Anolis sagrei: one gene and its partner. The protein of the gene in region 1 interacts with the protein of each later gene in a pairwise test. Links are inferred from orthologs where the notes say so. Each region holds a gene or a part of one and is shown in the gene's direction. Other genes may lie near its edges.

Region 1 (7,004 bases):
GGTATTTTCAGTTGTATTTTCAGCTAGTAGAAGGACTTAAATAGTCTAAAAACAATGTATTGTCAAAGGCTTTAATGGCTGGAATCACTGGGTTGTTGTAGATTTTTCGGGCTATATGGCCATGTTCTAGAAGCATTCTCTCCTGACGTTTCACCTGCATCTATGTCAAGCATCCTCAGAGGTTGTGAGGGCATAAATGCAGGCGAAACGTCAGGAGAGAATGCTTCAAGAACATGGCCATATAGCCCGAAAACCCTACAGCAACCCAGTCTAAAAACACCAGATCACATCTAATATTGAAAACTATCTTTGATTTAGGCAAAAATGATCTGACCTTGGAAGCTAATTAGCATCAAACTTTGTTAGTATTTGGATGGAAGGAGCCTTGGGTTAAACCTTATGCCAGCAGGACTGAAGATTGACAGTTCAGAGGTTTGAATCCAGGGACAGCATGGATGAGCTCCCTCTGTCAGCTCCAGCTCCCCATGTGGGGACATGAGAGAAGCCTACCACAAGGATGGTAAAACATCAAAACATCCTGTCATTCACTGGGCAACATCCTTGCAGATAGCCAATTCTCTCACACCAGAAGCAACTTGCAGTTTATTAAGTCACTCCTGACACACACACACACACACAATATTGGATGGAAACGAAAACCCATGCTGTAAGCAGTATTTCAGAGGCAGCGACTGGCCAAACTACCTCTGAGTATTCCTTGCGTAAGAAAACCCTATGATATTCATGTGGTTGCCATAAATCAACAGGCATGTGTGCAGACTCACACAGAATTTAATTTTATGCCTTGAAATTTTGTATTGTTTATTGCTTGTATTGCTTTATTTTAAAATTGTGTTTAGTGGGTAGTTTAAAATGTGATAAACAGTCACATGTATACTGCCCTGTAATCCATTTTTGGATGATTTTTTAGAAGTTTTCAAAATGACATTTCACTTACATTTAAATAAGGCTTTACTGTTAAATCCGTGGTTCAAAGAAAGACAGGTGCCTTTTCCAATACATTTCTTAATCTCTTCAATGCATAAAACTCACTCCCTGACAGTTTTCCTCTGGGAACCAGCACTAGGTTGATAACCAGAAACATACATATTCATGCCGATTTCATTTTAGAAGTCAGAGAATCTTTCCAATTTAGTTTCGGCTGTATTCTGCAAGCCATTTGCAGTATAATATTCAGAATCAGGTTTACCTGAGGTCAGTGGGATTTTCTATTTTTGCCAGTGAAACTGACCTTTTCATTTGAATTCACTAACTTGAAAAGAACAAAATTGGTTTTTTTTAACTTTTGATTTAAAAAAATCAAAGTTATGAAAACATTTTAATTACTATGTTCACCTGCAATCAATTATGTTAATGAGAGTGTGATGGCATAAATCAACATGAACGAAGTGTGGTCATTGCACTGAAGGTATCCAAAGCCACTCCTGAATCGTCTTTTCTCTAGGAAAAAGAAAAAATATCTTCTTATAGCCCTTCCAGACAGGTCCTGTATGCCAGGATCTAATCCCAGGTTTTTTGGTTTAACTGGATTATATGAGTCTCCACTGCCAGATAATCTGCCCTTCCACACATCCCTATATCCCAGAATATCAAGGCAGAGAATCCCTCATTATCTGAGTGTGGACTCAGATAACCCAGTTCAAAGCGGATATTGTGGGATTTTTTGCCTTGATATTTTTGGATATAGGGCTGCGTTGAAGGATCCTAAGATAAATAGAAAACCTGGGATCATATCCTGGGCTATAGGGCCTGTTTGGAAGGGCCCTTTGTGCAGGTTCCAGGAGTGATGATTGGAGACCTCATCACATGGAGTGTTTTCCCCATTGTAGGACATTTCATTTCTATTTCAAAGACAAAGAGGCACAACGACGTTTGCCTACTTCTGGCCATCATCCATTGCCCTTCATCCTTGAAATGGAACTGAAGTGTGCTGAAAGGAGGGAGTTCAGCACATGCGTAATCACGTTCTGAGCCCCGGTGCGTGCCAGAAACATCGCTAATGCCAAAAAACACATGTAATGGGATCTGAAAGATTCACTCATGTTGAATCGTTTCAGTGACACAGAGCAAAGGGTGTTCCTCACAAATTTGCTGCCTCTGTATTTTCTCCTTAATAGTAGTCTAGGCTCCATAGGAAGTGTTGGATTTCTCTGTTACACTCCATTTTATGAATTGCCCCTGCATGTTCCTTCTGTTTAAAGTAGTTTAAAAGAAGCGTTTAAAAATATTCTGGTCTCCTTTAGAGGGAAACCACCAAATTGAAAGGAATGTTAAAAGTATAGAGATGATTTCATTGAAAGAAGTGTTAAAGTGGAGTTAAAATTCTGCTGGTCTACTCAAGGGGAGGAATTTAAAAAGAAGAGGGGAAGATTTAAGTCTAAGAAGTTAGAAGACAGCTGAGCCTTGAGTCAGCTTGAGTATAGAAGTCTGTTTTTCAATCAGATGTCAGTGTCATCCTTGTGGGAGGAGCCCCCGGTGGCGCAGTGGGTTAAAGCCCTGTGCCAGCAGGACTGAAGACCAACAGGTTGCAGGTTCGAATTCGGGGAGAGGCAGATGAGCTCCCTCTGTCGGCTCCAGCTCTCCGAACGGGGACATAAGAGAAGCCTCCCACAAGGATGATAAAAACATCAAATCATCCAGGCGTCCCCTGGGCAACGTCCTTGCAGACGGCCAATTCTCTCACACCAGAAGCGACTTGCAGTTTCTCAAGTCACTCCTGACACGACCAAAAAAAATCCTTGTGGGAGGCTTCTCTCATGTCCCCGCATGAGGAGCTGGAGCTGATAAAAGGAGCTCATCCGCCTCTCCCTGGATTCGAACCTGCGATCTGTCGGTCTTCAGTCCTGCCAGCACAAGGGTTTAACCCACTGTGCCACCGGGGACTCCTGTTTTTTGATGGTCTTTGGCGACCCCTCTGATGCTCCCCCCAGGGCAGGCATGTAGCCGGGGGGGGGGGGGCTCGAGGGGTTTCAGCCCCCCCCCCCCCGAAATTCTCATGGTGGTTCGCGAAAAGGCATTACTGGTGCATTATTTAAACTGTTATGTTTATTCATAACATGATCTGATCACCATACTCAATATATCCCATATGCATGGGGGTATTGGGGTAATGATACAAAAGGTTTGCTAAACTAGACCCTCTTTCACTCAGACTCAGCCCCCCCAAAACTCAGACCCCTCCCGAATCCCCCCCTGAAAAAAACTCAGCCCCCCCCCCCCCCCGAATCGAAATCCTGGCTACAGGCCTGCCCCAGGGGTCCCAACCCCCAGGTTGAGAAACACAGCTCTAATTCCTAATAGGTTATGATCCTAACAGGTCATAATCCACAATTCCCAATAGGTTGTGGTCTTAACTACAAGAATGGCTTCAAACTACATGAAAGGAGATTCCATCTGAACATCAGGAAGAACTTCCTGACTGTGAGAGCCGTTCAGCAGTGGAACTCTCTGCCCCGGAGTGTGGTGGAGGCTCCTTCTTTGGAAGCTTTTAAACAGAGGCTGGATGGCCATCTGTCAGGGTTGATTTGAATGCAATATTCCTGCTTCTTGGCAGGGGGTTGGACTGGATAGCCCATGAAGTCTCTTCCAACTCTTTGTTTCTATGATTAACAGTTCATCATACCAGTACCAGGCATGGGAAAACTTGGCTACTTCAGGTGTTTTGGACTTCAACTCCCACAAAGTCTAACTGGCTGTTAGGAATTGTGGGCTTTGAAGTCCAAAACACCTGGAGGGCCCAAGTTTGCTCATGGCCACAAAGCAAGAGCAGTTGGGAAGGGTTCCTTTCAGTTGATACAAACCCATTAATGGGGATAAGAGGTTACACCTGGCTTCTTACTCTGCCCTGCATCCCTATAGAGATAGAAGAGGGAGGAGATGGAGGGGCTGCACGTAGGCGTGCGTGATGACGTCATCCCCCAGTCAGGATAAGTGGGCTTGGTCTCCGAACCCCGGAAGTAGCGGTTTCAGTCGAATTCAGCAGCTGGAGGAGGAAGAAGGAACGTGAAGAGCCGCGGCAATAATTCCTTCTCTCTGTGTGTGCCTGCCTCCCCTTCCTCCTCCTCCTTCGGGGCATCTTGCCGGGTTTTCCCCAGCGTTCGAGGCTGGAATGGTGCTGGCGCCGGCGTCCGCTGCCGGTGCTTTAAGGAGGAGGAGCCGCCATGGAGAGGCTGCTGCTGCTGCAACCCTTGGGGTGAGTGGCTGGCAGGCAGACACGCGTCGCCGAGGGATGAACGTGAGAATGGGTGAACACGAGAAGAGGTGAAAGTGACACTGAGAGGGCCCGGCTTCTCTGGAGTCGACACTGGAGCCGACTGACTTACAGCTTGGCAGGGCTCAGTGTTCTGGGTCCCTGGGAGTTGTAGTTTCCTGCATGGTCTTCTGCTACAGCCTGCTTTGCCAAATGAATGCTGCTCGGCAGGGCTCAATGCTGTGTAATTTTAGGAGTTGTAGGCTTGCAAGGTCTACACAGCCTTCTCAACCAAAGAAGACATAGGGGCCTTGTCAAACTACAAATCCCAAGGTTGCATAGCATTCAGCCATGGCCTTAAGTTTCAAACTGCATTCATTCTGCAATGCAGGTGTATTCTCAACACTTTGGAGTAATGGGAGTTGTAGTTTTGCAAGGAGTTGTAGTATCAAACGGTATTCATTATACAATGCGGAATAGTGGGAGTTGTAGTTTTGCAAGGAGTTGTCATGCCAAACTATTCATTCTACAATGCAGATGTATTAATACTATGGAATAATGGGAGTTGTAGTTTTGCAAGGAGTTGAAGTGCGGTTGTATTCTCAACACTATGAAGTAGTGGGAGTTGTAGTTTTGTGAGGCATCTTGTCAGACTGCATTCATTCTATAATGCAGATGTATTCTCAATACTATGGAATAGTAAGAGTTGTAGTTTTGCAAGGAGTTGTCGTGCCAAACTGTATTCATTCTACAATTCAATGTATTCTCAGTACTGTGGAATAGTGGGAGTTGTAGTTTTCAAAGTTGTCATGTCAAACTGCATTCATTCTACAATGCAGATGTATTAATGCTCTGGAATAATGGAAGTTGTAGTTTTGCAAAGTTGTCATGTCAAACTGCATTCATTCTACAATGCAGATGTATTAATACTATGGGAGTTATAGTTTTGCAAGGAGTTGTCGTGTCAAATAGCATTAATTCTACAGTGTGGATGTATTCTCAACACTGTGGAACAGTGGGAGTTGTAGTTTTGCAAGGTTGTCATGTCAAACTGCATTCATTCTACAATGCAGATGTATGAATGCTCTGGAATAATGGGAGTTGTAGTTCTGCAAGGAGTTGACATGACAAATGGCATTAATTCTATAGTGCGGATGTATTCTCAATACTATGGAACAGTGGGAGTTGTAGTTTTGCAAGGAGTTGTCGTGCCAAACTGTATTCTTTCTACAATTCAAATGTATTAATACTATGGGAGTTGTAGTTTTGCAAAAAGTTGTCGTGTCAAATAGCATTAATTCTACAGTGTGGATGTATTCTCAACACTGTGGAACAGTGAGAGTTGTAGTTTTGCAAGGAGTTGTATCAAACATACATTCTACAATGTGGATGTATTCTCAATACTATGGAATAATGGGAGTTATAGTTTTGCAAGGAGTTGTCATGTAAAACCGCATTCATTCTACGATGCAGATGTATTCTCAATACTATGGAATAATAATGAGAGTTGTAGTTTTGCAAAGTCTTTAGCCTTCTCTACCAAAGAGGGATCGGGGGCCTTAGCAAACTACAACTCCTGGGATTCCATTAGAATAGAACTATGGCATCAAATTGCATTAATTCTGCAGTATAGATGCGCCCTTAGACAAGGATCTCAGCAGATCTTCCACCGAATAGTTCGGAATCCTATAGTAGGGAACCAAACTTCTGAGCATGTGCAGAGTGCGTTCACTGCACCCCAGCAGGTAGTCTGAGGCTAGAGAGGGCATAAATATATGAAATAGAATGTGAGCATGGGGAATGAAGACCTTCCATACTCACTGTCTACTTCCTTCTTCTCAAATACAGCTTTTATAGCTGTGTTTTGTTGCCTGCTCCCTGATTGTAAGGAGCCATGGCTGTTGCCGTCCAAAAATGCACTCTGTATATGGTCGGAGCTATTGCGTATTACTCTTATGCCCCATGGCAAAGGTCCTAATGTTCAGAGTAGCTTTAGAGTGTTTCTATATATACACAAAAAGAGAGTGGAGGGGATTGTTAAGTTGTTGCTGAGTGCCTTTGAGTTATGGCAACCTTAATGATGCGTCCACACAGTAAAATTGATGCAGTTTGGTGCCACTTTAATTGCCTTGGCTTATTTCTATTGAATTATGGGAGTTGTAGTTTTACAAGGTCTTTAACCTTCTCTGCCATAGAGGGCTAGTGCCTCACCTAACTACTACTCCCAGTTTTATATAGCATTGAGCCATAGCAGTTCAAGTGGTGTCAAACTGGATTAATTCTGCAGTCTGTATGCACTAACTCTCATTTGTAAGCACTGGGCTGTTTGAATAAAAGTTAAGGTCTGAATCTCACAAGTTGAATGAGTAACTTTGTTGCTTTCTCATCTGAATGTATTGCACTAGGCCTGGGTAACAACGGAAAAATTTGTTTCTAAAATCGATTCGTTTTTTGGGGGTTTTTGCGTTTCGTTATTTAAAATAATTACAAAATTTTCCTTTTAAAAAGTTCGATATTTACGAAATTTTGTAAATGTGAAAAAAATTACAAAACATTAACGAATCGATTTCCGAAACAATGTTGGTGTGATATTATAATTTTTTTTCACTAATTAAACAAAAAACTTGCCCCAGACATGCGAAAATAATAACGAAACAACCTCAGAACAATAACGAAACGAATACAATAACGAAATACGAAGCATTTACAAAACGTGTTTAAAAATTCGTTTTTTTTTAATTGCTCCAGAATGGTTCTTTATCGTTTTGTAATTGAAAAAATTAACTAATTATTA
Region 2 (7,676 bases), on another chromosome or scaffold:
AAATTGAGGGACCTAACTTCGCTCCTAACTGTTTTAAGGAAACCCTCCCCCTGCAATTTCCTTCTTACTGCTGCTTTTGCCTCTGCAGTGCTGTTAAGTGAAGAACTTGCTTTTTCCTACAGGATTAATGCAGTTTGACATCACTTTAACTGTCATGGCTCAATGCTGTGGAATCTTGTGTGCGTCTGGTGAACACTATTAGGCTGAGAAGATTAAAGACTCCTAAACAGAGTGTTTTAAACAGAGGTTGGATGGTCATCTGTCATGGGTGCTTCGAATGCAATCTTCCTGCTTCTTGGTAGGGGGTTTTACTGGTTGGCCCATGAGGTCTCTTCCAATTCTATGATTCTAAACCTACGATACCCATGACTCCATAGCATGGAGACATGGCAATTACAGTGGTATCAAACTATCTTAATTCTACAGTGTAGATGCACCCTAAGACTGAAAAAGTAAACCATGCACATGAGCTGGGATGTGCAAGTTAAATCGGACTCCCCGTCCACACAGTGATCAAACTAAGTACGCAAACCAATTATTTTTTTTGCTCCTCTCAGTTGTTTGTCTTACAGTAACCAAATCTAGCAAGAATCAAATACCAAGATTTGTTTTATAGTAGCCTAATTAACAAGGACTGAGATTTGCTTCTAAACGCGTAGCACAAAATCTTATAGGGACAAGAGCAATAAAGCTACACCAGTCAAATAACAAGTAAAACCCAAAATCTACTTTTGAACAATAATTTATTTACACTGGCATGTAGAGATTAGATACAATTGCTTTTGATTTTTTAGAATTTTATTCTATATCATATCATTCTCAATTCAGGAAAAGTTAAAGATATTTTATTCATATATTAACAATTGTTGCAATGGAATTCCAAATTAATAATCACATTTAAATCTTTGTGGAATTGAGTATTTAAGATGAAAATTACTGTGAAATCTGATTTTACACTTGGCAAGGAAGCAATACAGAGTCTCCAAAATTCAACTATTCTCATGAGCTGAGAAAAGTAAAAGAAATTGTTCTCAGAAGCAAGAAACAATGTCTTTATCAATAACTTGACAAAGATACAACTCTACTACATGATGCATTCAGCTCAGAGAGTATAAAAACATTCAGATTAGAAAGGAGACAAAGACATAATAATAATGGTTATTTCAACCTTGAGAAATAGAATCCTTGTCTCATTTACAGAAGTTTTTGGGAAGAGTAAGAAAAGCCATTTGTAGAAGAAAGTTAACAGCCAGAACAAACTGAGACACAGGGGACCCAAATTCTTTGAGGAAAAAACTCTTTCCCACGTAATTGTATCAATTATCTGAGAAATCTGGCTGCTGATCTAGAAGATGTTGATGAAGTAGTCACATCTTCAGTAACTTTACTACACTACACAAATAGATGTGCTGGGTTTCAAACCTATAAAAAGGACCTAAGAACCATCAATTTGCGTAACATAGGTGCCTAATTTATTTTTAAAAATTGAACTATTTTGATTATGGAAACTCAAATACAATGAAACGTTTGCACTTTTAAAAGGCATGGGAAAATGGGCTCTCCAAAATATAACATTTTATCTTATTTACATAGTGGGTGAAAAGATTCCATATTAGCTGGTTGAGTAATCTATATCCACAATGTCTGGGACCCAAAATGTTCTGTATTTCATATTTTTCAAATTTTGAGTATTTGTATATACACAATGAGATATTTTAAGGTGGGTCCAAAGTCTAAAAATAAAATTCATTTATATGTCATATTACATCCTATAAACAAACCCTGTGGGCAACTGAATACACAGTATTTTAAAATAATTTTATGTGTGAACAATCAAAAACCAAAGGTGTCCCTGTCTCAGCCACTCATGAGGAAAATTCTGGAGTATTTTGGATAAGGGACACTCAATCTGTACCAACTCCTGAAGACTAGAGAAGGGGATTTTTTTTTTTTAAAAAAAAAAGGTCCTGTGAGGAGTTTAAGGGAGGCTCTCTCAAAGTCAATCCTAAATTCAGTCCTTTGTAGAGGCAAATAAGAAAGAATAATAATACTGTATTTCTTCAGTTCTAAGACACACTTTTTCCTTATATAAACATCTCTGAAAATGGAATGTGTCCTAGAATCACAGATGTATCTTATGCATTTTTGTTGGTTGTGGTACTGAAACTATGGTGTGTCTTACAATCAGTGGTGTCTTACAACTGAAGAAATATGGTAACAACAACAACAGTTATTATTAGAGGACAAGAAACCAGTTGCCAGCATTATCAATCTCTATGGGAAAATAATAATTATTTTCTTTGTTACTTGTCTCTCCTCAAGGTTGGAATAAGATGCAACCAACAAGAGTAGATTTCTTTTTAAAGAAATACTCAATGTCAACACTGCAGGATGCAGACCATCACTATTTCCCTTCCCCTTCTCATCCTAATAATAATAGAAAGAGAAGCCAGGTAACAGTATTATCCACTTCTATAGAAAAATAAGCTGCAACCAAGGAGAGTTGGTCTGCGTTTGTCAGAAAATAGCACCCCTCCTCATTCCTTTGTATTCCACCTCAAGTTCTGTGGAGACGCAGATATATAATAACTATTATTATTATTACGAGTACATCTACTCTTCTCAAGTTTAGAGGCAGGATACTACTACTGTTAATAACAATAGAAAGAAAGGATAGCATTATCCCCCTCTATGGAAGAAAAAGGTGCCACCAAGGAAAGGAGGCTTGTGTTTTTATAGAAAGATTTCTCAATGATAAATTCAATCCCTTGCACCTATCATCGAGCAGTAGGTAGACAACAACAATAATAATCCTATCTCTCAAGTCTAGAGGTGTAACACTACTGCTACCAATAATAACAGGAAGAGAGGGCAGGTGGCAGCATTATGCCCCTCTATAGGAAAATAAGGTGCCACCAAGGGAAGGGGGTTGTGTTTTCATAGAAAGATTCCTCAATACTAAATTCAATCCTTTGCACCCCTCAAGCCTTGAGAGGGAGGTAAACAATAATCCCATATCTCAAGGATAAGAAGGCAGGACACTACTGCTACTAATAACAGGAAGAGAGGGTGGGTGACAGCATTATCCCCCTCTATAGAAGAATAAGGTGCCACCAAGGAAAGGGGGCTGTGTTTTTACACATTTTGGAGCATTTTGGATACATTTAATCCCTTGCGCACACACACACACCCCTTGAGAGGTAGGTAAACAATAATCCCACATCTCAAGGCTAAGAAGGCGGGACACTCCTACTACTACTAATAAGAAGAGAGGGTGGGTGACAGCATTATCTCCCTCTATGGAAAATAAGGTGCCATCAAGGAAAGGGGGGTTGTGTTTTTACACATTCCTCAATGCTAAATTCAATCCCTCCTCGAGCCCTGAGAGGTAGGTAAACAATAATAATAATAATAATTCCATCTCTCAATAACAATAATAATCCCATCTCTCAAGGCTAGAGGCAGGACACTACTGCTACTAATATTAATACGAAGAGAGAGTGATAGTATTATCCTCTCTCTATAGAAGAATAAGGTGCCATCAAGGAAAGGGGGGGGGGTGTTTTTGCTAAATTCAATCCCCCTTCGAGCCCTGAGAAGTAAGTAAACAATAATAACCATCCCATCTCTCAAGGCTAGAGGCGGTACACTACTGCTGCTGCTACTACTACTACTACTACTACTAATAATAATAATAGGAAGAAAGAGTGAAAGTATTATCCCCTCTATGGAAGAATAAGGTGCCACCAAGGAAAGGGGAGGTTGTGTGTTTTTTTTGCTCAAGCCTTGAGAGGCAGATAAATCACTATTACCATTATTATTACTATTTCTATTGTTATCCCACCACTCCCCAAGGTTGGAGGGGAATATGACTACTACTACTACTAGTGTAGTACTACTCATACCAGGAAGAGAAGCCAGGGGATAGCATAACCCCTCTATAATTCCATCTCTCAAGGCTAGAGGTGGGGCACTATGGCTATTAATAACAGGAAGAGAGGCCAGGTGACAGCGTGACCCCCCTCCATGGAAGTAGAAGGTGCCACCACGAGGAGTGAAATTTTTGTTTTCAATGGCAGCGCTGTTTCTGAGGGAAAGGGCGCGTCGCTTTGGACAGGAGGGGCCTCCCGTGGGTTGTGTTGGGAAGGGAGCGGCAAAGGGCTCCACCAAAGCCAAGCCTGGGGAGAGGAAGGCCCCTGCCCAGAGCGCCATCTCCCCCGAAGCAAGGCGCAGGGCCCAGGCGGGCTGGGAGGCCAGGCCCATCCTCCTCCTCCTCCTCCTCCCTTGGCTCTTGGGCCCACCAGCAGCCCCTCCCACCGTCCGTGGGGCGGCCTCGCCTGTGGGAGGAGAAGCGGGCAGGCAGGGCCACAGCCCGGCCTGTGGAGTGGGGAACAAGCAGGCCCTGAAAGGGGGGGGACACAAGGGCCGCAGAAAGGTGGGGGGTCAAGCAGGAAGTTTCACCTCAATCCGACGAACCTCCCGCAGGCAACACGCGGCAAGAACAAGATGGCGTCGAGGCGCGCGGGGGAGGGAGGGGGAGGGAGGAAAGGAAGGGGCCCAGAGAAAGGACCACGGGACCGACGCCACGCCCACCTCCTTCCCGATTGGAAGGGAGCGCGGCTGTATTTGCATAACCCCCTCCCCGACGAGAGGACAATGAATAAAGCGTCGCGCCCCAAGGAGGCGTGGCGGGAAAGCGGTGCATGCTGGGAGTTGCAGTCTTCCTCAAGAAGTCTAAAAGGGACAGGTATGCCCTCGGATAACAGATACTATCGACTATATATCAAAACGGAGGGGGGGGGGTCTGATTGATACACCTCTTGAGTATTCCTTGCCTAGGGAAACCCTATGAAATTCTTGGGGTCGCTATAAACTAAAAGGAGCCTTAAAGGCACTTATATAAATACAAAATTCAACGTTTCAAAAGCATACCACTCTTAAGTACTCTGACCTCAATGCTATGAATTCCCGGGAGTTGTAACTGGTGTGTAACTGATGTAATTACTCTGGCTCAATGCTATGAAATCCCGGAAGTTGTAACTGGATGAGAGCCCTTATAAAACTACAACTCTCGTGTTTCCATAGTATGTCATCAAGGCAGTTAAAGTAGAGTCAAAACTGAGTTGGTTCTACAGTGTGGATGGAGCTAACATGGATTTCATAAAGAATAGAATATACAAAGAGCATTTTAAAAAACCTACCCGCTCATTCCGGTTTTTGAAATACCTTCAAGTCGAAATTCCCAACGAGGAGGAATAGTTTTTTCTCATCTAGGTTCCTTCAGGGATGTCTCTTCCTTTCCTTCCCTCTCTCCTAATTTACCCCGGACCCAAATCCATGCAGCGCCTCCCATATCCGCCTGATAACATCACTTCCTCTATTCTTTTTCCTTTTTTTAAAGGTGAAAGCGGATTGGGATACACCGGGTCCTCTTCCTGGCCGTGTGGATCCTTTTGGAGAGCTCCTTTGGCGTCATGAAGGCCCCTTGGGCTACTTTCTCCTTGTGCTGCCTTTGCCAGCTGCTGGTCGTTGCTTCTGCTGAAGAAGCCCTTGCAAAAGGTAAGATATAGTATCCCTCCCCTTTCTTTACATTCTTACCTGCTTTTTTTTTACCTTTCTATCCTTTTAATATTACATAATAATAACAACCATAATCCACATCTTGCTCATATGGATTTTGTTGGCGCATTCAAAATCCACATTTTAATGTGAAATTGTAGTTCTTATTGATTCAACTTTCCCATCTGTTTCGACAGAGTAGGCCATGAGTTGCTCTTAAGCAAGGAAGGGAATTGCAAGCCAACAAAGGGAGGGTGCATTTATCTACACTGTTGAATTAATACAGTTTGATACTGCTTTGGCTCAATGCTATATGGAATCCTGGGATTTGTAGTTTGGTGGAGGCACCAGCTCTCTTGGGTAGAGAAGGCCATGTAAAACTACAACTCTCATCCCATCGCCTTGAGCCTGGGTAGTGAAGTGGTGCTAAACTGCATTAATTCTACAGTGTAGCTCAGGCATCAGCAAACTTTGGCCCTCCAGGTGTTTTGGTCTTCAACTCCCACAATTCCTATTATTATTAGCAGGGGACTCCTAATAATAATAATAATAATAATAATAATAATAATAATACACCAGGTGACAGCCGCATTGAGGAAAAACTCAGCCGTTTTCAGGACCTCAAAATCAAACTGCAAAGGCTCTGGCATAAACCAGTACAGGTGGTCCCAGTGGTGATCGGCACACTGGGTGCCGTGCCAAAAGATCTCAGCCGGCATTTGGAAACAATAAACATTGACAAAATCATGATCTGTCAACTGCAAAAGGCCACTTTACTTGGATCTATGCGCATCATTCAAAAATACATTACGCAGTCCTAGACACTTGGGAAGTGTTCAACTTGTGATTTTGTGATATGAAATCCAGCATATAGATCTTGTTTGCTGTGACATGCTGTGTTTTTGTATCAGTAAAATAATTATTATAATAAAATTCAATCAAAGCCAGAATTGAAAAGTGGATGACAGATTCCAAGTGTAAACTCCGCAAGTAAGCAGACAGAACCATTGATCATATACTCAGCTGCTGTAAGAAGATCGTGCAGACGGACTATAAGCAGAGGCATAATATTGTTGCTCAGATGATCCATTGGAACTTGTGCCACAAATACCATCTGCCTGTGACAAAAAACTGGTGGGATCACAAGCCAGAAAAAAGTTATGCAAAACGATCACATCAAACTACTTTGGGACTTCCGAATTCAGACTGACTGAGTTTTGGAGCACAATACTCCTAACCACACAATCGTGGAAAAAAAGTAGGGATTGTCGATGTTGCTATTCGAGGTGACAGCAAAATTGATGAGAAGCAACTGGAAAAGCTTACAGGATTTAAAGATCGAACTGCAACGTATAGATGTTTGTAATTTGGTCGCAAAGGTCGTAACTTTTCCGCATAAGGAAGATGTTCCAGACCTTTATTCACTGTGATTGCCCTTTTCTACAGGCGGCGAAGAGCAGGGTTTATTGGGGGACATTAAAATATTTGGAGTAATGTTTTTCAAATACTGTGACCAAAGCTGCACACAGTATTCCAAGTGCAATCACAGCGTAGGAGAATATGATTTTAGTGGGCTTATTTCCAGTTTATGTTCCAATTTGTATTCCTTCCAGCAGCTGTAGACTGAATTGAAATATTCCTCAAACTGCTTCTAATTGGATGCTGATAGGATTGTACTATTAAAGCTTTCTGTTAACAGGTTTTTACCTGATGTTTAAAACACGGCAATAATGTGCCTGCTCTGAGATTAAGAAAAAGGCAAGAACAAATGTGTGAACCAATCTTCCCAAGGGAACCCTATGATATTGTCGTCTTAAGCTGAAATCAATTTGAAGGTGCAGAACGACAACAGCAGATGTATCTGCAGAGCAACTTGCAAAAAATGTTTTGTGGTAGAATTTCAGTAGTATATTTCTGAAGGGATGGATAACTTATGGTGCTGGTCATTGACCGTAAATAAATGTATATAACTTATGGTAACATTTCAAGCATTGCTTTCCCCAGAATAACCTAGGCAAACGCCATGTATTCATAGAGGATGTTCTGAGAAATACTATTGGTATTACCATTTGAAATGCTTTTCTTTGCTGTGATCAAATATGATAAAATATTTTATC

The links.
Region 2: the proteins of KLHL2 (region 1) and TXNDC12 interact in binary tests that used the Homo sapiens proteins (3 or more experiments, as listed by UniProt). The two-hybrid records come from large-scale screens. The link is inferred for Anolis sagrei from reciprocal best matches to the Homo sapiens genes KLHL2 and TXNDC12.

The regions. Positions count from the first base shown.
Region 1 is NC_090025.1:56,847,661-56,854,664, forward strand, and holds the start of KLHL2 (kelch-like protein 2), read left to right. Parts: upstream 1-3,953; 5' UTR 3,954-4,129; coding exon of another isoform or gene 4,130-4,181; coding exon 4,182-4,213; intron 4,214-7,004. UniProt on the Homo sapiens protein: Substrate-specific adapter of a BCR (BTB-CUL3-RBX1) E3 ubiquitin ligase complex that mediates the ubiquitination of target proteins, such as NPTXR, WNK1, WNK3 and WNK4, leading most often to their proteasomal degradation.
Region 2 is NC_090024.1:173,951,511-173,959,186, forward strand, and holds the start of TXNDC12 (thioredoxin domain-containing protein 12), read left to right. Parts: upstream 1-4,664; 5' UTR 4,665-4,747; intron 4,748-5,201; exon of another isoform or gene 5,202-5,338; intron 5,339-5,401; 5' UTR 5,402-5,474; coding exon 5,475-5,559; intron 5,560-7,676. UniProt on the Homo sapiens protein: Protein-disulfide reductase of the endoplasmic reticulum that promotes disulfide bond formation in client proteins through its thiol-disulfide oxidase activity.